Drosophila melanogaster: one gene and its partners. The protein of the gene in region 3 interacts with the protein of the main gene of each other region in a pairwise test. Each region holds a gene or a part of one and is shown on either strand. Other genes may lie near its edges. The genes, in order: CG17122, CG34453 and Ran.

The links.
Region 1: the proteins of Ran (region 3) and CG17122 interact in a two-hybrid assay, tested with the Drosophila melanogaster proteins (one large-scale study listed by BioGRID).
Region 2: the proteins of Ran (region 3) and CG34453 interact in a two-hybrid assay, tested with the Drosophila melanogaster proteins (one large-scale study listed by BioGRID).

What each region holds. Positions count from the first base shown.
Region 1 is NT_037436.4:20,270,978-20,279,016, reverse strand, and holds CG17122 (uncharacterized protein), read left to right. Parts: upstream 1-3,681; 5' UTR 3,682-3,762; coding exon 3,763-5,559; 3' UTR 5,560-5,628; downstream 5,629-8,039. Other genes in the region: gogo (golden goal), read left to right, coding at 147-1,364, 1,703-1,833, 5,800-6,030, 7,213-7,501, 7,567-7,731, 7,795-8,039.
Region 2 is NT_037436.4:230,495-237,344, forward strand, and holds CG34453 (uncharacterized protein), read right to left. Parts: upstream 2,858-6,850; coding exon 2,829-2,857; intron 2,771-2,828; coding exon 2,631-2,770; intron 2,579-2,630; coding exon 2,354-2,578; intron 2,297-2,353; coding exon 2,163-2,296; 3' UTR 1,986-2,162; downstream 1-1,985. Other genes in the region: CG42846 (uncharacterized protein), read right to left, coding at 522-991, 1,062-1,095; CG34454 (uncharacterized protein), read right to left, coding at 1,340-1,398, 1,466-1,808; E(bx) (enhancer of bithorax), read right to left, coding at 3,805-4,010, 4,074-4,158, 4,488-4,851, 4,916-5,020, 5,085-5,580, 5,645-6,007, 6,060-6,261.
Region 3 is NC_004354.4:11,143,007-11,153,017, forward strand, and holds Ran (Ran), read right to left. Parts: upstream 5,575-10,011; 5' UTR 5,480-5,574; intron 3,591-5,479; exon of another isoform or gene 3,410-3,590; 5' UTR 3,372-3,409; coding exon 2,937-3,371; intron 2,859-2,936; coding exon 2,643-2,858; 3' UTR 1,846-2,642; downstream 1-1,845. Other genes in the region: CG15202 (uncharacterized protein), read left to right, coding at 56-188, 253-373; CG15201 (uncharacterized protein), read left to right, coding at 1,147-1,243, 1,314-1,476, 1,608-1,689; Lint-1 (l(3)mbt interacting protein 1), read left to right, coding at 6,708-6,845, 6,919-6,954, 7,630-9,121, 9,232-9,374; rtv (retroactive), read right to left, coding at 9,960-10,011.

The DNA of each region.
Region 1 (8,039 bases), on a different chromosome or scaffold from region 3:
ACGAAACAAATTACAAGGATTTATAATTCTTATCTCTCCGCTTTGCTTTTCTCTCTCTCTTGTTTCATGTGGTGACTCCTTGGAAATTGCCGGCATTGTGTACTCCTGCTACTGCAATTTGGATTCGGATGCGGTTTCGACAAAAGGTCACGTGCTGGCGGTGCGAAAGGGTCGTCTGATGTCCCCCAGCACATTCACCGCCCTCAGCGGGGACCTGCATGTGCAGATCCAGTTCAATGGGAACGAGATGTCTTCGCAGGCGGAGGAGGAGCACACCATCGGTGGTGGCCCGTCCAACGAGGAGCCCTTGAGCTCCAGTGACGGGCTGAAGAGCAGGAACAACACCATAATGAGCACTTTAGTCATTAGCAAAATCATTGATGAAGTGGAGTCACCGCTGGAAAAGGGTTTGACTCCGGGCCCCGAGGTAACCAATACCAGCCAGGTGGTGCTGCATCGCAAGCGCAAGGAGGTGGTGCAGAATATACCGCTCTTCCCGGATCCCCGATTCAATGTCACCCAGGTGACGGTGCCATGCCAGACCTTCCTGATCGGAGGACGCTACGAGATGCAGGTGGTGAGCAATCTCAAGTCGGTTAACCGGAGTGAGGTGACCACCACATTGGTGCCCGCGCAGGATGAGCGACTCCACCAGACGCTCGATGTGCGATGGCCCAGTGCCGAGATGATAGTGAGTCCGGTGCGCCTGAAGACCTATCCCAAGCATCCTGTGGAGGTGACCCTCCGCTTTCCCGAGGTCAACTGCAATCAGTCGGGCAGTCTGGCATTGCCGGAATTTTGGTTGGAGCTAATTTACTGCGGCAAGGATCGCAGCTGCAATCGGAATATAACCCCAACTAGTGTCCTTTTTGCGGAGCAAATACGCGGATTCCCCAAAAACAAGAGCCTCCATCTGGGATGCGAACTATTTGGACTAGCGGGAAACTATGCAGTCCAACTGAGACCGATGATTCCCGCCCAGAACGTGCCCACCACCCGGCGGCTACTGAGCGTCGATTGGAGCGACGAATTCGTGTTCAACGTGTATGCCCGCAGCATATTTCCCTGTGATCCGCACACGGGAATCGGTGTCCTGTACGAGTATCCTGGCTGCATTCTCGAGCAGGGCGACCGGGTGCGTCTTTATGCTAGGCTGCGGGCCGATGTCGCCTCCCTGAAGCCACCCACGTCGCTCCACTATGTCTCCGAGCAGCGGGTCGTCAAGAGCCAGCATTCCCTGTACTTTGCCTGCGAGCACTTCTCCGAGAAGTACGTAGAGTACTGCTTCGTCTACGTCAGCCAGGCAATTTCCGGAGCCGTAGCCGATGTCCGGATGGACTGTGTGCCCACCCTGCCCGTCAGCGGTGAGTGGTCGATGGTGCATTAACGCCGTTTTTAACTCCATTAAAAGGAAAATCCCAATTAAGCTGGAGTTCAAATAGTTCTTAACACATTATTGCGTGTGCTCGCTACACTGAAAAAAATACCCTTTTAATTACTATTTCGCATTAATTTTTAAAAAAGCATAACTTCAAATTTTTTCACATTATTTAAATTTTAATCAAGCCCTAAAGCATTACAAAGGCATTTTTGAAATACATAACCCTCAAATAGTTTCATTTTCCCGCCCCATTATATTATATATTTAAGCACGCTGTATAAGTTTTGAAGTGATTAGCTCATGACACCACTCTTTCCGCAGACTCGGATACCGGTGGCTGGGGACCTTGGAGCGAGTGGACGCCCTGCTCCACAAATTGCTTGGGAGGAACGCGCAATCGCTACCGCTTCTGTGACTCACCACCCCCGCGATATGGGGCCAAATTCTGTGAGGTATGTAAGCCCAAATAACTCGCCAGATTAACCTCTGAACGACCTCTGCCTCCCCACCTGATTTGACAACGTTAACAGCCAAAGTTTGATTGAGTGCTCCCAGAAATGATTAATACTTTGGCGCATCTGAGCCATCAAGACGATTTCAATAAGTGCGGAACTACAACTAAAGACAGGCGAACTTCGCCCGACTCTGGGGACTTCGTTACCCAAGAGATTGCTTCCAGCTTAGTTCACACATTACACTCGACTTTCCTACACTGAGCGAATTCTAAACACTTTATATTAACTAAAAACTCTCAGCTTAGAACATATAAATGAGGGCATAGCCAAACTCAGCTAAAACTCAAATACAAGCTCAAACATTTTCATTAGTGACGAAACAAATACATTTTTTTATATTCCCAAAAGTAAAACGGATAAAATCTTGAAATTGAAAGGCAACTGAGTAATTCCTTGCAGTGTAGCCCGCCGGGGCAAAGTGGAACTATTTCATTGTTTTTGTTTGTGGGCCATGCCGTGGAGTGGACTGGCAGCCGGAGTGGGTGGCTTCGGCACGGTATGTTATGTTGTCTGCAAGCGTGTTTCCACACTGCGACACTTGCTCCAGATTGCGTGGGGAATTTACGACGCTTCCGACAATTGTCGGCCTACTGCGCCACGCTTTATCTTGTTTCTTTTGTTGAAGCGAGTGGAAGAATGAACCTCCGCCTCCGTCACTATCTGTTCCCGCACTGCCACCATCCACGTCCTCATCCGCGCATTTCATTATCCAAAAACTTCCGGCATCAGGATCCAGCGATAGGGGCACATTTGCCCGTACTTTGCCAACTTGTTCGGAACAATTACAGGCAAAGTTTTTAAATGCTCCGCACACTTATTGCAAGTAGTTCTTACACGGGAGTCGCGGACGCCACGGATGCTGGAACAATGGATTCGCCGTGAGGCGACTACAATTGCGTGGGCGGCTGTGTCCATGGGCCGGCTGCTGGAGGAGCACCCGGTCGGTGGGTGCCACACCCACACCCACTTGCCTCGACAATTTGCATTTGCCCCCAAAAGAAACGCCCGGAGGCGTTGCCGCCCATGTGCGTGTACAAATATTGCCCCACGGGCTATTAATCAAACAAAGCTCCCACACGGCAGGCACTATTTGCTTTTAGAAAACACGGGGAATAACCTTTTGTGACCACAGAAGCACCACAAACTCAAATTAGTGGCTTTCTAGTGGCGCTTTAAGCATTTTAAGGCAGTAAAATGTTTACCATATTCATGATTTAGGCAGAAAAACACATTTAAATTAAATTTAAATAGAATTTAACCAAAATTGTTAGTCATTCTGGGGAGAAAAATTTATAAAATGGAGCTTAAAGTTATATATCTATTTGTAAGGGGATAGCTAAAATACCTCTGAAAAAAAACTGATATTTTTAATGGTTTTTATAGAATATATTTGTCCAGTTTGGTTTATTTAAGGTAATGCTGTGGTTGAACTAAAAAATGATTCTTGTTCGCTGAGTTTCACTCTTTTCCCAAAAAAGCCACATCTGTAATGATATTCAGGTTCGCTTCCGAAAACAATTGGAAATAATAGTACATGTGTATACATATAACAAATGGATTCACTTTAAACTCTTTAGGTCCTTGGAAAATGCTTTACTAAATTAATAGTCGAGTTCCTTCCAGAAAATAAAGCTTTATGGTCAAACAGTAAAGGATATGGGTTCAGCTTTGAAAAGCTTTAATTTCCTTGACAACGGTTCATCAACTAGTTGTTATAACAGAGCTCATTTTAATTAAACAAAGAACGATGGGTGTGCAAATTCATACTTATAAACAATGTCACTGGCGTTTTGTAATTCTTAAAATATCAAACACTCGTCAAAATTCGTAGACAGTCAATTCTGATAACGAACAGCAGCCTCAAAAATGCCGCCGAAAGTGAAGAAGGAGAAGAAGGATGTGAACAAGGTGACCCAGGTGGACAGAACCTTCTACGAGCTGACCATCACGGATCTCAACCAGAAACTAGCTCGACTGCGATCCCACGTGACCACCGTCGATGAGTCCAACATCACGCTGACCGAGAAACTCAAGGAAGTGGAGGCCGATGGCGTCGACGTGGCCGCTCACTTGGAACGCACCCTGGCGGAGAGGAATAACTCGATCACCGAACTGGAGGAGCGCCTGGTAGAGATCACCAAGGTGCGGGATGTGGAGAACCGCGTGGCACAGGAGAAGATCGGCGACTTGGAGTCGAAATACAAGGCCATGCACGACCAGTTGACCTCCGAAATAAAGCTGCTTAATGGCAAGCTGAATTCCCTCGACGAGTTCCGCATCCAGAGGGATGTCCTGTTGGCCAAGTTCGATGAGCAGGAGGCGGATCTCAATGAGCGCGAGAAGGATCACAAGGAGGCGCTCTATAATATGGAACAACGAGCTGTGGTGGAGAAGGATGCGCTAAAAAAGGAGGTCGAACAGAAGCTGCTGCAAGTTTCCGAGGACTTCACCCGGTCCAGTGAGATCCGCAACGCTGGCTACACCCGCCGCCTGATTCGTGAGAACATAGCCCTGCAAAAGGAGATCGATCTACTGGTCATGTCCCAGATAAAACTGCAGCAGGCATATACCAACCAGAAGTCCAAGCACAAGGAGATGGAGGAGCAGTACAGTGCCCTCGATCAAATCAAAAACGAGCTGGTCCGCAACTCCGTGAACAAGATCAAAATCATTGAGGGTCTGACCAGGAACTACGAGAAACTGAAAGCCAAGTACGTGGAGGTACTGCGCTACAAGAAGGCCTATGAATCCCTTCTCCAAGCTGAAAAGTGCGAGAATGTCAAGCAAAAGGATGCGGCCGGAAAACTCCGGACCCTGGCCAAGCGAATGGAGATTTTGGATCTGGACAATCGAAATCTGGAGGTGGTCCATGCCCAGCACGAGATCGAGATTACTCGACTGCGTGGAGTCATTCAAGAGATCAAGTGCACTGTGCGGGATGCGATTGTGGCGGAGCAGGCAGCCAAGAAATTCCCGGAGAGATTAGTCGAGGCCAATGTGGATGATCCCGCAATGATAAATGAAGTTCGGGAGGAGGCCATATCCCTTTGCAAGCTGAAACGCAGCGATTTGCTCTCCCAGCTTATGAGCATCGTGAGCTCCCATTCGGAGGAGCTTCCGAAGACTCCATCGATTGCCTCCATTGTCAGTGCCACCTCATCGCTGTATGCTCCAGGTAAAATGGGCTTCATGCCCACGAGACCCAAAGCAACGCCATTCGACGCCTTCCGCAGCGAGGTCATCGAACAGGAGCCGGATCGCACCGTTCCGGAGGATCTGCAAAAGCAGAAGATGCAGGATCGGCTAATGACCTCGTTGCGAGGTGACGAGAATACCATAATCGATGTGGAATTCGGCACTACTCTATACGTTTCATCATCGCGCGAGGACGATCTCATTGAGGTGGAGGAGGAGCCACTGGAGGAGCCAGAGGGTTCCACCAGCTCCATGTCTGTGAAGAAGGCCAGCAGTGAGGGTTCAGTGGCTCCGCCCGAAACCGTACCGCTAGCCGTTTCCGCATCCTCGAAGGACATCAAGGGTGCTCCCAGCATTGGGGCTCTGGACACACTGACGGCCACATCCAAAATGACGGGTGTTACCAACGAGGACGAGGGCGAGGAGGAAGGCGAGGAGGAGGACTTCGATGTGCAGTTCGTCTACTAGAGGGATATGAAAATTGAGTTTACTTGTAGTTCCAATTTTGTTGAGTCTTGAATAAATATGTGCAAAGTCAAAAACGTGTTATTCTTTCGTTTAAATTCTTTAAATGTTTCATTAACATAGAAAGACTTCATGATAATTTCCATAGCTCATACACCTCTGCAGTTCGATTCGTCACTACTTTCTTTTCTTTTGAGCGCTTTTTTAAACTCTTAATAATATAATTTACATATGTATTTACAGGGTCCTTCGGTTGAGACCCAAAAGTGTGGCAAAAGCATCGCCGACACGTGGGACTGCATTTACGAGACTTCGGGTACAGTCATCACCAAGGAAAATAGCACCGAGGTGAGCCAGGAAATTGGACCAGGATGTCGTTGCGGCTGCATTGTACATCTGGGCTCTTCGAAGCCCAAAAGGATCATTGCTGGAGCCACACAGAGCTGTCCTGGCCGCTCATTCTGGCTAATACAGGTACAGACTATTAACCAATTCCATAACAACCTCTCAACTTACCAAAAAAATATAAAAAAAAAAATAGTAGAAAATAGGGAAAGTTAAGTGACGCTGCCCTTTGGCATTTGGTCAAGTTTTGAAAGCTTTCAAGTTGTCTGCCGCCATAACTATAAAAACGAACAATGCCAAACACTCAGATGTCCAAGTCCATGAATAAAATTCCGCTACGCTTCGCAGGCTGCCCCAAAATGACAAAGAAGCCCCCACTCAATGCTCCATGCCACAGGGCAGTGGTGCTCCGATCTGGACGCACATCGCTGGCCAAAGGGGGCTGAACTCAATTCATGCATAATAAATGCCCCACTTGGTAGGCGTTTTGGCCAGTCCCCAAACTATCAATGCGTAAGGGGTCCAATGGGGGTGAGCTGAACTTAATGTACTCGGTATTCTCGGTAGGAAGGGGTATGCTCAACGCTATCTTGGGAAAAGAACATCCATTGTCTTTTAGTAGGTTAAAAATTGCATGGAAATAAATTGTTGGAAAAAAGGCAAGAAAAGTGAAAGAAAAAAATTAACAAACAATTATTGGATACAAGCAGATTTATTGCTGGAAAAAATAATATTGAAGAGATTTTTAGAATAGAAAGAATCTCGGGTAGAAAAATGATTATTGACTCCGAGCTATACTATCGAATACTAGGAAACAAAGTAGATAGGAGGATATAAATAAATATTATAATGAAGAGGAAATAAATACCATATATATATTCGTATATAAATATACGAATAGAAAAAATTAAAAATTTAACTTTAAAAAATTATGAATGTATTGCAAATGTTTTTACATTTTGCTTGATACAACACCCTCTTGACATTCCACCAGATGTTGGGACCCATAAAGAGGCCTGAAGTCCAGTATATATATATATATTCAATGGGTATCAGATGAAAGGACTATCGACTTTTCCATCCATACACACTTTGACTCAGGCCCTTTTTTGTTCGATACAATTGGAATGATTAGACCTGCCAATTGACACGTTCGAGGGATGAGGGGAATGTGCCAATGGGCAGGAGGCTTAATGGTGATGAATGCCTGACCCACTTCGGCAGCATCCGCTTGCCCCATGCCCGGGAATGTGGGGAAACCCCAAGCCAATTGCCCGTATGTTCACGAACACAAAATTCCTTTTCTCGCAGGTGGATGGTGAGGAAAGCATTTCACTGGCACTGAGTTTCCTCCGCTTGCCTTGTGCCACCCAGTACATAAAGGTGCGCGATGGACCGTCGCTTTCGTCCACCCTTCTCGTGGAACTCAATGGCGGTGGACTGATCCTCAAGGGAGCCGGCGTTCCGGTGGTCGTCGATTCCACTGGTGGCCAACTCCTGGTGGAGTTCTCTGCCGGCGATGGACCGGCGGGCAATGCCACTCAGGAGGCAAGTCCAGCCTGCACCGGGGGATTCATGGCCAATGTGCAGCAGCGGTTGGGTGAGTAAAACTTCGATAAATATTCAACGAATTTAATAATTTAATTTAATTTAAATGTTCAACAGCTACAAGGAGCAGTAACAGTAGTATCACACTTGTGGCCGCCACTCGTTTGTCTGGAAAAACTCGCTCTGTTGTCCACAAGTCCATGTCAAGACTTCGATTTACCCTGGTTCATCTGAGTGCCATGATCTTTGCCAGCATAATCATCATAATTAGTTCCCTTTTAGGTGGGCTCTTGAAATATAAGTATAGATTTTATAGATGGTAATCACCACTTCTATCGCTTCTAGGTGCCCAATATGTGGTGCGATATCGGAAGTATCACCTGGCAGTGGCTCGGCGACAGGACGAAGGATCCAGACTTCACACTCCCAGAGCATCGCTGAGTTCCCTGCAAGGTCCTCCCTCACGGGCCATGTCCACAACAACTCTGCTTTCGGAGGTCATTTACATGGTGAAGATGCGGCCCAAACACCACTTGCGACACTCCATTCTCCGCGAGAGCGTGGACGCCGAAAATCTGACCAAAGAAACG
Region 2 (6,850 bases), on a different chromosome or scaffold from region 3:
GACTACTGGAATTTACATCAATGGAGATGACTGCGGCGTGGGAGACGGAGATCGGGACTGCAGCGAGGGATCGAGGTTCTGGACAGCGGCGCGGGATTCTTATAAGATTGGACGGCGGCGTGGGACCTTTTTTGACGGCAGCGTGGGAGTTTAGGACTGCAGCGCGGGAATTTCTGACGGCGGCGAGGGATCCTCGGTTTAATTTTTCGGCAATTGGTCAGCCATCGCATTCCATATACATGCGTGTCACTCCATTTATTGATAGTTCAAAGCTGATATACTTAGGTGGCGTGATCAGCGTAATCACGCCTCCAAAAATACGCATCCCTGATTATCCCTTATATGGAAAATCTTCATTGAATATACATTTATTTACACTTCTGGAATACCGGAAAGCAACCCCAATACTTATGCCGATGATTCTAATACATGAAACGATTTAAGATCACAATAAATTGATTTTTGAAAAGAATGCTAATCTTAATTTGGTTTATTGGGTTTTGGTAAAATTTTATAATTGCTCAAATGGAAAGGTTTCCATAAGGATAAGTCCTGCCAGGGACTGTTGCATTATAGGTTGAATAAAACGATCCATTATTTTTGCCAATGACAAATGGTGGATTTACGATTTTACCTTGGGATGGGTTTGGTTGAAGAACGCCAGTTACTCCTGGTTGGTGATTATTACTGGCCACCCAGACGCTGGAAGGACCTGAATCTTGCGCTGGAACGCTACCTGGTAAAACGCCATGAGATCCCTGATTGGCGTGAACCAACGAACGGTTCTGATATGGTATTATAAATCCGGGTGCCTGGAGGACAGGTTGGTGAACCGCCGGGGCAGTCAAATTGGACTTTTCGACAGCTCTGTGAATCGTCGAGTGGTTGTATACACCGCTATAGGTGCGGGCGGGCGCGATGGCATTTGGGCGACGAAAAGCAGGGTCAGCTAACACCGTGGACTGGAACTGCAGATGCCCAAAAATAATAGCTGAGTAGAAAACGGATATTTTAGAAGGAGCTTTCACACAGAATAAAATATATTTATGTATATAATGTACCTAAGATTACGACCAATTGATAAATCGCCTCCATGTTTGCAAGTATTCTCTCTGAAATTCAGAACGGAACTGTCTTGGGAATCCATTTCGAAATTTTCTACAAGTGCGTCAAGGTTATCTTGATTGTTTTGCATTAGTATGTATTTATTTTATTTATATTATTTTGCGTTGTTATGTACTGCGTGGCGTCTTATCTCTGTGCCATAATAATATTTAAACTGAAAATATCTTAGTTGGAGTATATTAATCTATTACATTAAATAGCTGGTTGTTGCATATCAACCTCGCGTCATCGCAAAAAGACCCTCACAAGAACCTCTTCGAACTATTTGAATGTCTAAAAACGAATAGTGAAGTATATTTTCGATTAAAAAATAATAATATAATGGATATAATGGACTCACCAGCTCCACAGAAACGAGCACAATTAAATTTTTCCTCGTTCATATAAAGCTGCATATTGCTGCCGCAAATGGGATTGTATTGCGATGTGGTGGGACAGTTACCAAAGCAGTTCAGAAATTCCTTGGTTGGGGCCGGTGCTGGTACAAATGGTGTAAGACCTCCTGGTATTCTTACATTGTTAACCAAAACTAAGTTTGCGCTGGTGGGCGAAATTGGTATTGACGTCGTTGCGGCGGCATTGTTCCATGGGCTACGAGATGTTTCGAAAATTAAAGGTTCTTGGGCTGCGCCCAACTGACTTAAACAAGCAAAAATAAATATTGGATGCCAATTGATGCACATCTTTAACTGAATCCTGAAGCTTATAGTCGTATGTGCTTTCGTTCGCTGATCGAGGGAAACTGAACCAACACAAGAATCAGCTGCACTAAGCATAAGGAACTTCACATATACTGGAAAGTTTTAATTCAGTGAATCAAAATACAAAGTAGTAAATAAGATATGGGAACGCCACTGAATACAGGTTTCTAAAGCAGTCAATCGTCTGGAAAATCCAGTTCTGTACGATGCCCGCTATCAATTTTAAGTTTATTATCATGTGCTTATATTTGCAATAATCTAGGGAAATCCCAGATTTGATTCATCAAAAATATGGGTTGGAAATGACCAACAAGAAACTTTAAAATTCGTGATGACTTATCCAATAATAATATTATAGTAAGGGACTGCTGTAATTCGAGGGCCAGGCATGGAAAACGCAGGAGAAACATATTGCATAGAACGCTCCAGCTTTTGGTAGTTTTTCGAAATAGCTGCGAAGCCAATGGTAGCTGAAAATCTCTTTATATTGTTGTACCCATACAATTAAATGTAGGTGCACTACTTACAGCTTGAAGTGGAAGGCACATTAAATGGTTCTGCACTCCATGCATCAGTGCCATTCTGTACCATTTCTTGCTTGTAATCTGGACTCAAGGCTCTTTGTAAGCATTTTCCCATATGGATGCTTTCCTTAGTTCGCCCACAGCGACAGACGGCCAGTAAAGGTTTGTACATCTCCGGAGATACGAATCGCGATTCGCCTTGGTTGTTGTGCACAAAAGGGCACAGGTCTATAGGGTAGAGTATGTGAGTGCACAATTATAAACCTCTATGTAAATATACCTTTTAATTTTAGCTGGTTACTTAGTTGAGAATTAATCTCAGATTGGTGGTAGAACTTGTTAGTTTGCTTGCCCGAAATTTCGCTCCAAGCTTTTGGAAAACTACGACGCGAATTGTGCTCCATGCGCACTTGCTCCTTTCTAAAATTGTTAATAATATCTGCTATTCATATTTTAATAAGATGTGCTGAACTCTTACAGCTTTCCAATCACTTTAGCAGGTTCCATCGTTTTATTATGTTTAACTAGTCAATAATTTTGTTTAATAAACCCGTTTTCTGCGCACGCTCGCCATGGCAACCAGTTAATTAGTATTTTTATACCCATTACTCGTAGAATAAACAACTTCTGGACAGTCTAGTAACGACTACGTTATATAGTGACATTTGCAACCGAAAGAAGACTTTTGGGAAAGTTCCATGTATAACTGCTTTAAAACTGAGAGACTGGATTGCGTAGAAACTGACGGACGGGCTTTGTTATGTCGCATCGTCTGCTGATATTGATCAAGAATATAGGAATATAGTTTGTGATCATAAAGGGTACCTTCATTGCGAAGCAAATTTCGGACTGTTACAAAATATACCCTATGCAAGGGCCTACAAAAATTTCAATGCAGATCAACAAATGAGGATTTTGTTGTTATTTTAGTGCAAAGAATCCGTCTAATAATATTAATAAGCTATTTAAGGTATATTTTTGTTTTTGCTGAGTAGGTGTGAATTTAAAAGTCCAATGAGCAGTAAACAAACCAAAGACTAAATAAATGCAAGTTATTTTCAAAATATGCTGAACATTTATTATAAGCTTGTATTTTTACAAGTTACATACGCCTAAGTTTAAACCTACAGCATATGATAAGGATATCAAATGAAATGCATGCTGTTTATTTACACTTTAATGTTTTGTACAAAGGGGGTTTTACTTAATTATTTTTAATCTTACAAATGTCTGGTGAATATGAAATTTATTGCATACTGGTGTACGTTACTAAATATGGTCAATATGTACATAATTTATTATAATTAATTATATGTGTTTTTATTGATAATATATGTTTATATAACATTTGATTCAAAATAAGAATACATAACTGAAGGACGTTTTTCAAATTGTTAGAAGTGTCTTTATAAACTATAATCATTTGTTCTAAAGTTTTCAAGGGCTATTATTTCTTATGTTCTTTGGTCAAAAACATTTTCGCGAAAATTTTTAATTTTTTGCACAAAGTATGACTCTAGTGCTTCAGCACACTTATAAAAGGATGATTCTTTTGGGTTATAGTAACGGCAGTTGTCAAAAATTTTTGTCATATCGCCTATAAACTCAGATAGTTTGGTATAGGTGTTTGATTCGAGTTTAATTTCCATCCGTTTGAGATCTATAGAAAAAAATATCCCCATTTTATTTATTTTCGAATAAATTTATTTTTTGTGTTACATACCCATTGGCTCTTTAATCACTTTGTAATAATCGGGTGCTTCCTTCGGATCAACCGGTTCCATAAATGGCCAAGCACTTTTGTGTAACTGTAGGGAAATTTAATATTTATTCCATTTTTGATGTGCTACAGTTGAGAGTTTTTCGTTAGCCAGAAATGAATGTGAAACGAATGAACGAATTGGATATTTGATTCACTTGGTCTTGAACTTATAATACTTTCGTTCTGTTCGTTACTTTGTAATATTTTTTCAACAATTTTACAAACATTACCGTATTTTAACATGTTTGATGCCATCAATATATAAACGATTTGTTCGTTTATCTAACACAGAATAACGATTCCCACAAAATTAAATTTTATTTAATTAAGGTCCCTAATAATAAATAAAAATTATTATGAATTTCAGGTTATTACCTGCATCTGCTTAATTAAGTTTTTCAGCTCTTCAACGTCATTTGAAGTCAGTTTCTTCATATTTGCAGCGTTAGCATCGTTTTTGCGTTGGCATTCAGGGCAAACATATTCATCAATAAACTCTGCTTCGCTCTGAAGTATTCCAACGCAACGGCCATGAAACCAATCCTGGCATTTATCACAGCATATATAAAATTGTGACTCGTCGTATGGTTGACGACAGCTACAGTAAAGCTGTTGCGTTTCTCTCGCCCTCTTGCAATCAATGCAAATGAACTCCGATAGTTTTTTAGAAGCTTCCTCGGTAATACTGACACAATCCCCATGGAACCAATTGCTGCACAAGTCGCACCCCACGTAAAACCTACATAGACACAATTACAATATATTAATTAAAAGCGCGTTAAGAATATGCATTTCTGCATTACTTTGTGTCATCATATGGAGTACGGCAAATGCAATACAACTTTTCCTTTTTTCTTGTCAACTTTTTTGGTCGGCCTGCGCCATGTCTGGGGTTCTGCACCTCTGTCCTACGATTTGATTTAGGTATTATTAGATATATCATATTGCACACAAGTGCATGAGTATACGTACCGTTTAAAATCTAAATTTGGTTCGCCACTTCTCTCATTTTCGCTTTGTTCATCCGGTGAAGCGTTACTTAAGGGGCGTACATGTCTTTGGACTTTAGTTTTTACATCTTCGTGTATTTCGCTTTGTAAATTACGCTCTAATAAGGAACGCTTGCGCAAAATATTTTTTTTAAGCAATTCTTTATGACGTTCCAATTGCGATTGCTTTTGCTCTCCAAGTTCAGCGACTTCGTCATTCTTGCTCCGATTTTTTTTTAAAATTCGATTAAATTGGCTGCTTGTTGTCATAGCATTTGGGCGTCTTAAGGAAGTACGAATTTTCCATTCAGTGTCATCAGTTTGGCGACTGGGAGTTAGTGCTTCCTCATTCACACTGCCCCTTGAGCATGTTTCCCACTCATTCGTCGAATTCGCATTTTCTTGTTGCTTCTGCATACAAACAAGTTTTTCTTCAAGTTCCGGACTTAAATTACCTTGTTTCAGAGCATTTGAAATAGCTGAAAATCATGGCACTTATTATTTCAAACACATTTGTATTTTTATTCATTTTTTAACACTTACACTTCTGTATGTATCCTCTGGTAACAACGAAGCTTTCGTTTTGTTTATTTTCTAAGTCTGTTTCTGATATATCGAGGCCGGCAAGGTTAGTTGGTTCATCATGTTCTGAACCCTCTAATAGGGAAGATGTACCGGCAAAGGACTCATTAGTTGTAATATTAGAATTTTCTGTTTCTGCACATTTACTGTTTTCCTGATCATCGCCATTATTAATAGCAATATCTTTAATAGTTGAATTGGCTTCGTAAGTTGTTGCTAGCGTATCGGCGTCGATTTCGATGTTGTTGGTCTGCAATGAACATCGTTTAAGGTCTTCACTTTCATATTTTAGGCGATGCTGCTCAATATTGTCTTGATCTTCAACTAGAACTAGATTATAAATTTTTAATTTTTTTTGCTTGCAAAATTGGCTTACAATTATTGTTGGTGCGGCACGGCAATTCACTTCTTAAAATTCTACCTTCGAATACTTCACGGGGAGGTGAAGGTACAATTTGATTCGGCGGACTGCAGACGACAATAATCTCATCATCATAATCTTCTTCTTCTTCAATTTCTTGCACAAAATAATTCGAATTCATCATACGAGTATAAGCTATTGATACGCCGCCACCAACCTAATCGTTTCCAAAAACGTAAGTTATTTTCAAAATTTGAGAATTTGATTGCGTTAATATGAACAAATACTAAGAGCGCAAAGAACAAAATTTAGGAACACACCTACCTGACTTTAATCAGAGATCAGTTGTAGAATTTACTCCAGGCAACCTTTTAATGTGTTTTATTGAAGTTGTTGTAGTTGTCGAAGAGATTAACACGTGGTTAGGAGTTGAAGTTGTTGACACGTGACATTATGGCATGGTTAAAAGTTTTTAAGCAGTGGAAGCATGAATTTGATTTTAAGGTATATGGCACTTTCATTACAGAAATAGGATAGTATTTAAATTGGATTAAAAATTATAATGCAACTTGTGTAAAAGAGATTAAAATGCTATGAGACTGGTGTACGGATATGTAAGGTGTATATAGGCCGTGTTATTGCAAAATTTAATTTTTGACAAGTGTAAACTTCATTTCGATTTAGATGAGATGATTATAAAAATGGTAAAGCCTTTGTGTTTATTATAAAGGACATGTCAGAAAATCTAGCTCAGTGGCGACATTAGCACATGCGTTTTATATGGAGAAATCTTTTCTTAATTTTCC
Region 3 (10,011 bases):
TATAGTACTATAGTTCCAACCAGATAATGATCGTTTATGTGCTTTATGTTTCCAGACTATCCTGGCCAGTGCTACTACGAGGAGCTCAACCAGGCCATACCCAAGAAACAGTCCTACAAGCCCATCAATCGCGAGGGCTACTGCCAGTCCATCTACTGCAGACCAGACTATGTCCTCGAAATTAGCTAGTAAGTTAAAAACACTTATTATGAATATATATTTTTAATGCATATTTACTTACGTTTACTTCAGTTGCGGTCGCCATAATTTGGTGCCCACGGAGAAGTGCAGGATCGCCTCGGATATGCGACGCACCTTTCCGGAATGCTGTCCCAAGCTGGTGTGCCAGGAGTCCGAGAGCAACTACATCTAGCTTAGACTCCTGGCTGCTAAGTATTATTATAGAAAAACATACTTCCTAGTATTGTACATTTTTATTTTGGCACAATGTTTGTTAAATATTACTTGTAAGTTCATTGCGTATTTATGTTGATAGGTTTATTGTTCTATGTTTTTGATATTCTTGCCGGAAATATATATGTATCTATTCTAACAAAAACCCAAAGAATGAAATTCATTGTATATATTTTCAGCCAAATGATAAGTTCATTGTAATTCAAGTAGGTTCTCCACAAAATTTGTTGCTTTAAAATCAGCCTAGAAACGCACAAAAACACTGTGGAAAAGTAAAGTCAATATAATAAATATAAAATAGAAATAATTTATAATAAATTTAATGATCTTGCTTTAAACTAAACTTTTGTATGTTCTTGCATTTTATGCGGATATTTTTGGGATTTGTGCTCAAAATTCAAAACGGAATGTTAGTAAACGGCAATGATTAATTTTTAATTTAATTTTGTTCCCTTTGAGACGATGATCCATTTGGACACCTTTGTACGATCTGGAAGAGCACACTCTCTGTGGAAACTACGCATCTGATCAGTCCGCCTCCCTGGCAATTAAGCAATTAGCAAGTGCTCGCGGAATCCCACTCAATCAAGCAGCTGAAAATGCAAATCACCACTGACTACTGACTGGCTGATTCGCAAACGAGCCGCGCTCCAAGTGGCTCTTTTGGGCAACCTATAAATAGGCAACGGGCTGGGCCAGCTCTCGGTTCAGTCTCGTCACCGCGCTCCAAAGATGCACAACCGTTGCGGATCCATTTGGCTGCTGGCGGCCGTCCTGCTGCTGCTGGCGCTCCTGCTTCCGCAGGCACTGCTGCCTACCGTCGATGCGGGTAAGCTGGCCATGGGATCTCCTACTACTGTTCCATATGTCATATGTAATCATATGTATCTTGTACGTAGCCAGCGAACCCGTGTGCTCCTACCGCAACTCGGAGGATGAGACCATCTTTCTCAAGTATCTGCCGCTGCTGAGACGCGGACAGGACTACGTGGACTTCGGCAAGGATGGCAAGTGCCTCAAGCGGGCCATCTGCACGGACACCTTCAAGACCATCGTGGAGGAGTAAGTGCATCATGACAGCGATCTTAATTAGCAACTTAGGTTGCATGAAGAAAACAAAATATTTCCTAGCTGAACTTTGCCCCGATCTCCACATGATTCTAACCAAGCCATCTACAATATCTTTTTTTCAGCTGTGGACAGCAGAAGGTCACCTGCGGCAACAAGGATCGCTTCACCGGAGTTTTCCCTGCCTGCTGCCTCAAGTGTCCCTAAATCCGAGGAGTTTCATTAAGAACAGTGTATTCAAATGTAGAAATGTAAACAGTAGACGATTAGCTAACGGAATATATGTGCTACCCATTCAATTACAGGGTATGCGATAACTATAATCTAGCATCATTTCCTTATCATCTTTCAAATGCAAATCCAGCTCCGTTCGTTTAGTTTTTTTTTCTTCGACGTTTATTTTTTATTTCTTTAGTTCTTAGATTAATAACATGTGGATGCGAATTCGGCGGCCTGTCTATAGGTTATTTTCTCATAGTTTCCAGTGTTTTCCTTTCTTTTCTTTTTTCAATAGTATTAATTTTCCTTTGGGGGGACTCAGTTCATTGGCCAGCTATTGCGCTCTCGCTCGCTCCGAGCATGCCGTCTCGCTCGTTTCTAACATTCACACTTTTGTTGAAGTAACTTGGTTTTTTCTTCCTTTTTTTTTTTGGGTGGAAAAGAACATTGGTGTTGCAAGTTTTAAAAAAATACGTTCTGCGACTATTTATTTCTCTTGGTTTTCGATTAAGTTGCTGTTGCCTGCTGCTTTAGCACTTTAATGACAATACTACTTACTTACTCCTTTTTTTCCAAGAGCCAACGTATAAGGAAACAAACAAAAAAAAAATCAATTATAACCGACTTATTAATGAATTGGGGATCTAAAATTTAAATACAATCGACGTATTAAGAAGGGCTTGTTTGTAGATTTTCCCAACGATCGATCGAAGAACATAGGCTGGCAAATCCAATAGTGTACGGATAGTACACTACTGCTAATGCTACTTCCTCTAATCCGTAATCCTTCATTCCCTCTTGCCACGCCTTTTCATACGGTGCCTGTGATTCAGTGTTCTATGTTCGGTGTGGTGTTGTGTGTTGTGGTTTTGTGTTTGAGTGTGTGTGTGTTTGTGTTTTCGCGCAAGTCGGATTTCGCTCTAAGTTAACTACAAATAGGCTTATAGCTCCTCGTCCTCGTCGGGCAGTGCGGTCGCCTGGGCCTCCTGCAAGTCACGCTCGATCTGCGCCTGCCAATCCTTATCCATCTTAACCTCGGGCGGCAGCAGGGCTGGCATGGCGACAAACTCCAGGTTGGGATCACCAACCAGCTTGCGCGCCAGCCAAAGGAATGGTTTCTCGAAGTTGTAGTTCGATTTGGCAGAAATATCGTAATACTGTTTGACAAAAAAGAAGGCACAAGCACAATAACGTTAACAAAATTTCAAATAAAAGTTCAGCTTTTCTTTATTTACCTGCAAGTTCTTCTTTCGGTGGAAGACGATGCTCTTCGCTTTCACCTTGCGATCCTTGATATCGACTTTGTTGCCACAGAGGACGATTGGTATGTTCTCGCAGACGCGGACTAGATCGCGATGCCAGTTGGGCACGTTCTTGTACGTGACACGCGAGGTAACATCGAACATGATGACGGCACACTGGCCCTGAATGTAGTAGCCATCGCGCAGCCCGCCGAACTTCTCCTGGCCAGCGGTATCCCACACATTGAAACGGATGGCGCCACGATTGGTATGGAAGATCAATGGATGCACCTCCACGCCCAGTGTGGCCACGTACTTCTTCTCGAACTCACCGGTCATGTGCCGCTTGACAAAGGTGGTCTTGCCGGTGCCGCCATCGCCGACTAGCACGCACTTGAATGTGGGTATATCCTGACCTTCCTGAGCCATCCTTCTAAGCACTCGGTATCTTCGTTAATGCAAAATTTCTGGAACGGTGAGCTGCAGATGGAACAATTGCGTTTGGCTGGTTAGCAACTTGCAACTACTATGCTACTTTATATATTTAAATATATATATATATAGCGGAGCTTGAGCAGGAACAGGAACAGGAGCGGAATGTGTTGGCTAGGATGTTGTTGGTTCGGCGAGCGCCAGGCGACTGACTGCCCGTCCTGCGAGCCGTCCAAAATGTGACGTGCACAATGGATGCGTCAAAGCCCGCCAAGGACGGCGACCAGCTGTTCGGCGAGGAGCGAGCAGGATAACGACAAAGGACACTGCAGCTGCCGCTCCCGCTGAGCCCGCAAGGATAAGAAGGCCGAGATGCCGAGCCAGAGCGAGATGGCCACAGGGTATGGCTGGCTGTGTGTGCAGGTAAGCAGAAATGCCAGGCGCACCAAACAACAACAACAACAAGAAGGCGGCAGGGAGGCGGAAGGATATACTCTGCATACTCGCACACATACATTCCCACCACGTTTATGCGCAGCCCAAAACAGTTTGCCACACAAAAGGAGACCCGGAAAACCCACGGCGGCTCTGACCCACAATTGACCTGGGTAATACTAATTTAAACCCGAGCATAGGAAACCAAAGTGAATAATAAATGCTGACATTTCTGTTCGCAAATAATTAGCGCGCATAAACGCTTGGCATAAGTTTCGGAATATTAAGCGTAGAATTGGAGACATTCAAAACATTCGAAGAAAAGCGCAGTGTAAACAAAATTTTCATACTAAAGAAACTTGATCGCGTTATTGTGTTTGTACTGTATATAGCATAACATTTGTTTATGATTTACTGCGAACTGTAATCAAAGATATATACAAATTTAAGAAGTTATAGAGAAGAAATATTGGTAAATATAGGTTTTGAATGAAATGGCCATATAGCAAATAGAAGTACTTTTTAAAAGAATTAAAGCAAACTACCAAGTTCATCAATAAAGATGACCATATTTTCAGCATGAATCAAGATCAGTTTCATCAATTTGAAATGAGGTGAATAATTTGAATGGATATATTTCGTAAAACGCTGAAAAAGGCATTTGATGACTCATTCCTTTTGGAGACTGAAATGAGTAACTTTTTAAGGATGGCAAGATTGTGAAATTCCTGCGCATCACACCACTGGTGCTGCCCATAAAAGCAGGAAAATTCCTTATTTTGAGTGCCGCCTGTAACGCCGGCAAATTACAAGCACACACACGCACGCATGCACTCGTATTGGTGAGAACCTGTGGACGCTGCGAAGCGCGCCAAAAAATAAAAATGCCGACATACAAATAGTGCAGCGTTTTCTTAGCTCATTTGCTGGCTGGCGAACAGCGCAGCAGTCGCGATTCACGTGAAAATCGCCAATCGCATTTATATATTCTAAATAACAAATCGAATTCTAACACACATACGCACCCACACATGCACACGCACACGGACGACGAACAGACGCAGACAGACGACGACGCCGACGTCGCCGCCGGCAGAAGAAACATGAAGCAAATTCATTGCCGTTTTTTTTTTTTTGCGATTCATGTTTAACCTCACAAAATGCGAATGGCATGGCAGTCGGCGAGAATGTTCCGATGGCCAAAGGACAAGGACATTTGTCCTGCTTCGGTGTGGCGTACGGAGGAGCTGACAGTCCCAATTGGACGGCGCTTTTCCACTGCAGAGCTTGCCATGAGCCGGAAAAGGAGGGATAACAGCACGAGGCGGCACCACGTCGTTTTTCTTTTTTTTTTGTCAGCGAAATCTCTGGAAGCTCTATACGCCACTTGTTTTGTACAACTCTAGCCGGCAATCGGGCTTGTTAACCGGCTGGACTTGGTGGCCGGAAGCCGGGTGGGCGGTGGCCGGGTGGACAGACAGCAAAAGCCGCTGGGTCGGGAATAAAGCACACAATTCCAGGCGAAGCGACGCCGTCGTCCATATTGCATGCGAATTTGGGGCGTCACTGGCGTCATGCCGCACAGCACTTATTCACATCACGGTGGCGAATTAGCCAGGCTGGCAGCGAATTTGCACACAATTTAAAGCCCATTTTGTAGTTCTACTTACATTTTGCTCGAAATTCCTAGAAAACCACAACTTTCTTTTTTGCCGAAACACAATGCAGTGCTGCCAGATTTGAGTGATAAATGAAGTATAGCTGTTGCCTCGATGTTTTCGTTATCGGCCAGTGTGACCGTGCGAGCATAGAGAGGTTCCAAATTCTGGCGCTTACTTATATACCATCCACACCATTTGCAATTATTTAATATAATATATTAAATATATGGCTTAGTAGATATACAGAACACGTGTAGTAACAAAAAAAAAAACTGTCTATCAAATTGTAATGAAACTTTTTGAATAAATAATAAATAAAATTACGAAACTTTTGAGATGCCGTACGACGGAATACGCTCTGTGAGCTGAGTTAAATAATAAATATAAATAATAGTGCAATGTAATAAAATAAATAATAATAAAATAAAGTCAGCGGAGAACTCTTATCGTTAATAGGGCGGTTCATGATATTTATTGGCTGTAGTACTGGAGAAGGTGGCATTTAAACTCCTTCCACTTGTAGACGATTTTCTGCAAAACTGTAGATAAATTTTTGATGAATTTTTTAAGGATCATTACTTAATTAGGCCTACATAAGCCTATAAGCACGGCATTCCGGAACACGCTCTGTCAACAACACCAAACATAAATGACTTTCATGGGTACTTTTTTGTATAGGCTTGTTCATATTTTGACCCATAAAAAAAAAAAAAATAATAAAAAACTTTCCAATGTTCAAAAATTTCACCGTTCCGCCATCGACTCTAACTCATCGACGCTAATTTGATGGTCTTGCGTGCATTTTGGAACACTAAATAACGAAAAATTAATTTTTAAAAAACTTCCCCATGTTCAAAAATTCCACCGTTCCGTCATCGAAGTTATTGACGCACATCGTCCTTATTTCTCCAAATTCATAATTAAACGCATATTAAGATTAAAAATTCGCTACGAGAACGAGCACATGTATTCATCTATCTGGCAACGCCACCAGTTGATGCAACACATTTTTATCTTAAATTGCGAAGTTCCTCGGCCAGATATCAGTTACGAATGTAGTGATCAATCTATCACATTTTCTAACCACATTCGGTTTCAATTCCCACCCCACTCCCTTTCGAAAATTTGCCCAAAATTCCCACAAGTGCATCAATTGCAACGCATCCGAAATCAGTCGCGTGCGTGATTCGTACGATAACCGTCGTTATATATATAGCGTCAATATAATCGGAACAAGATGAGCAAGTACCATAAGGAGCGCAAGTACGCCAAGTTCAGGTACTACATGGAGAAGTACTACGTGCTGCCGCTGGAGCTGAAGAACGACATCATCTACTGCCAGCGATCGCTGCGCGATTTCCTCAAGGTTCACGCGGTAAGTGCACCATGGCTCCTTGGCGAACACCAGTTAATTTGTTTCCTTTGTCTCTGTTCTCTCACTTACGCAGTTGGTCTCGGAGGTCTTCGATGAGCAGGCGGATGCGGTGGGTTTAATGCCAGAAGACTGCAAGTCTTTGTCCTTTGTTCTCTACGCCACGAGAATTCCCGATTCCCCAGGGTGAAGGTGTTCGCCCGTAGAACACCACCCAACCCCCCTCCCACTACACACAACCAAAAAAAAAACCAAAACAAAGAACTGTATGTAGATGAAGCTATGAAACGTAGTACTTAGTTTAGTTTTTTCATTTCAAAGAAACTGATGTACTCGCGATAATTTTCTAGAGTTGGGTTAGAAACATGAAAGAGGCAACTGCGTTTTAAGCAAAACTAATAATGCACAAAAATTGGGTCAAATGTTTTCATTTCCAAAGGAACCACGTTCGCATCTCTGAATTTTTTCGAAATTACTTTCACTTTTTTTTGAAAAGAAGACATATGAGAATTATGTATATGACGAAATCCATCATCTATATGAGCAAATATTGCTGATTTCTTAACAGCATTAATGCGCATATTCTTTAATGCCGCTTTATTTCAATATTTTTCCAACGTGCATCCTTATCCATCAATCTCAACCTCATTTGTGATTGAAATGTATTCCCTTTTTTGCTCAGTGCTTGTGGTCATTAGCGTTTTTAATGGCCATTAGCACCTGTGCAGCTTCCACCTAACAATCCCAGCCACACCTAATGTGACACTCACGTTCTTGTCGTCATTAGGATCCAGTGCAGATGCGTCGCATCTTGGACGAACTGGAGGAGGAGGTGTACGAGATCAATGCCGAGCAGCAGTTCCTTCTGCTACGCCTCAACGATAGCCTACAGGAATTCTCCGTGAAGCTGAAGGAGAACAACATCATGTTCCTGCCGGACATCGCCCATGAGTACGTTTCCGCCCAGGTAGTGCCTTTGATCGTCGATCCCAACTATAAGATTATGCCACAGTCGGTGATGGCTCGTGATACCGAGGAGATGCTTATTCGCAAGCACTTCCTGCTGAGCCAGGACGATGATTCTGGTATGCCGCCGCTTAAGCTCAGCGAATTGGATGAGAATATACCATTGATGCTGGCTCCGCCGGTTAGGGGATTGGGTCAGCAGATCGCCGCCGTTAAGCCGGAGCCAGAGTGGCTCCAAGGCGATGAGGCGACAGTATCAGTGCCACCGCCGCCGCCACAATCGAAGTCGAAGCTGATGAAAGGGTCGCTGGATTCGACCCCGGCCAAGCGAGAGAATATCAGCCGCAGCTCACCGCCGCCCTTGGCGCCTATAACCCAAACCGTAGTGGCTGAGTTGTCACAAGTACCTCCATCACCACAAGCAGAATCTCCACCAGTAAACTTTCACGTTGTGGCCCAGAGTCGCAAGAACTTGCAGCAGGCATTGAGAAGGGCCAGAAAGACGAAGCAGCAGCCACGTTTGTTCGACGACGAGGAGGACCTGGAGATCACCAGTTTGCAGAACGATCGCAACAAGAACAGAACCAGCGATGGCAAGGGGACACCGCCATCGCTGGAGCCAACGAATGCTGCCGCCAATCAGGCAGCCAAGAAGACCATCCCACAAATGTCTAGTCAGGGGATGGCGAAGAATAATACCGCGAAGAGCAAAAACACGTGCAGGAAATCCTCGCCAACGCCCACATCCAGTGGACAGTCGCAGCCAGCGGTATCGTCATCCGGCAGCTCCGATGATTCCAGTGCCGAGCTGCAGCAGGAGCAGCAAAGACGCGTCGCATCCGCCGCCCAGTGGCGCGATGAGCCGCGCGAGAGCCGCACCCAGCCGGAGGAGTACGGCCAGGAGACGTTCCTCGGCCTCTTTGAGCTCTACTCGCCGGAGGTGCTCAAGAAGCTCAGTCAGCGCCACTCGAAGCGCAAGCGTCGCACCGTTCAGAATGCCAGCGGAGTGGATTTTCACTATGGCCAGCAGTTGAATGCCGTGGACGCGTTAGTCATGGGCGTTCGTGGTCAGAAGAAGACCAAGGAGAAGTCCGAATTCCTGCTCTCGCCGACGGAAAAACGTTTGCAGGCCAACTCGAAGAGGACGTACACACGCAAGAGCAAGTCGCCGGACGAGATTTCGGAGAAGAGCAGCGCAGGAGGAGGATCTGGCGCATCGGGAACTGCGTCTTCATCAGCCTGTCAGCATAAAGACGGCGGTGCCTCCAAGTGCCGCAAATGCCGCGAGTGCCGTGAATGCAAACGTCGTGTGGGTGAGTCATCCACCAACCACAAACTTGTTGAGTTGGTTTTCTTAAATTCGTATTACCCATTTAATGATTTTATTAATATTTTATTGTTTTGCTTGTTTTTTTTTTCCCAGAAACCGAAGCGATGTACTGCCACTTGTGCAGCGGATTATACCACATGGACTGCCACGAGTTCACCAAAAATCGCCAGCTGATGCAGCTGCAGAACTCTCGCTGCCCCCCATGCTTGCGCGAAAAAGATAAGTTGGAGAAGTAGTGCGTTGCCAAGTGAGCCATTGATGTTAAATGTTTCTCATTCTTGCATAAAGGATTGTATATATTTGAATCAACCCTAGTTGGTATGCTGAGTTCGTGTTTTTATATTAAAATTTATTATTACTTAAATGATTATATGATTATATAAATGATTATTATATTCTTATTTTATAAATATACTAATTAAAACGAATGGATATTCTATTTGCAAACAAAGAGAATGGTGTTACGCAGCAGGAGTGATTTAATTAGGTATATGAATAATATTCATATTGTTTCTTTTTCGCAAACAATCGAGTCTGTTCCACTGATAGCTGATTGACCCGAAGTCGGGATCTATGCCATATATAGCCATAATCAATGGTTACATATTGAATGTAAGTACCTTATTTGCGATCGGAAAAATGATACGAAAAAATGCACGAGTAAACGGCAATAAAATCTTAAGCAGAGCAAGAACATTCGATTTTAAGTAATAACAAAAAATTGTTTGTATTTATCGAACTGTTGATATTACATTGAGTGTTGCTGAGTATTGGAAGATGTATATACACATTGCCGGCTAAGAGCACAGAAAGCAAACAGTCTAGTTTCGCATCCGCTGGAGCAGCCAGGAGCCGAGCAGCGGCAGCATGGTG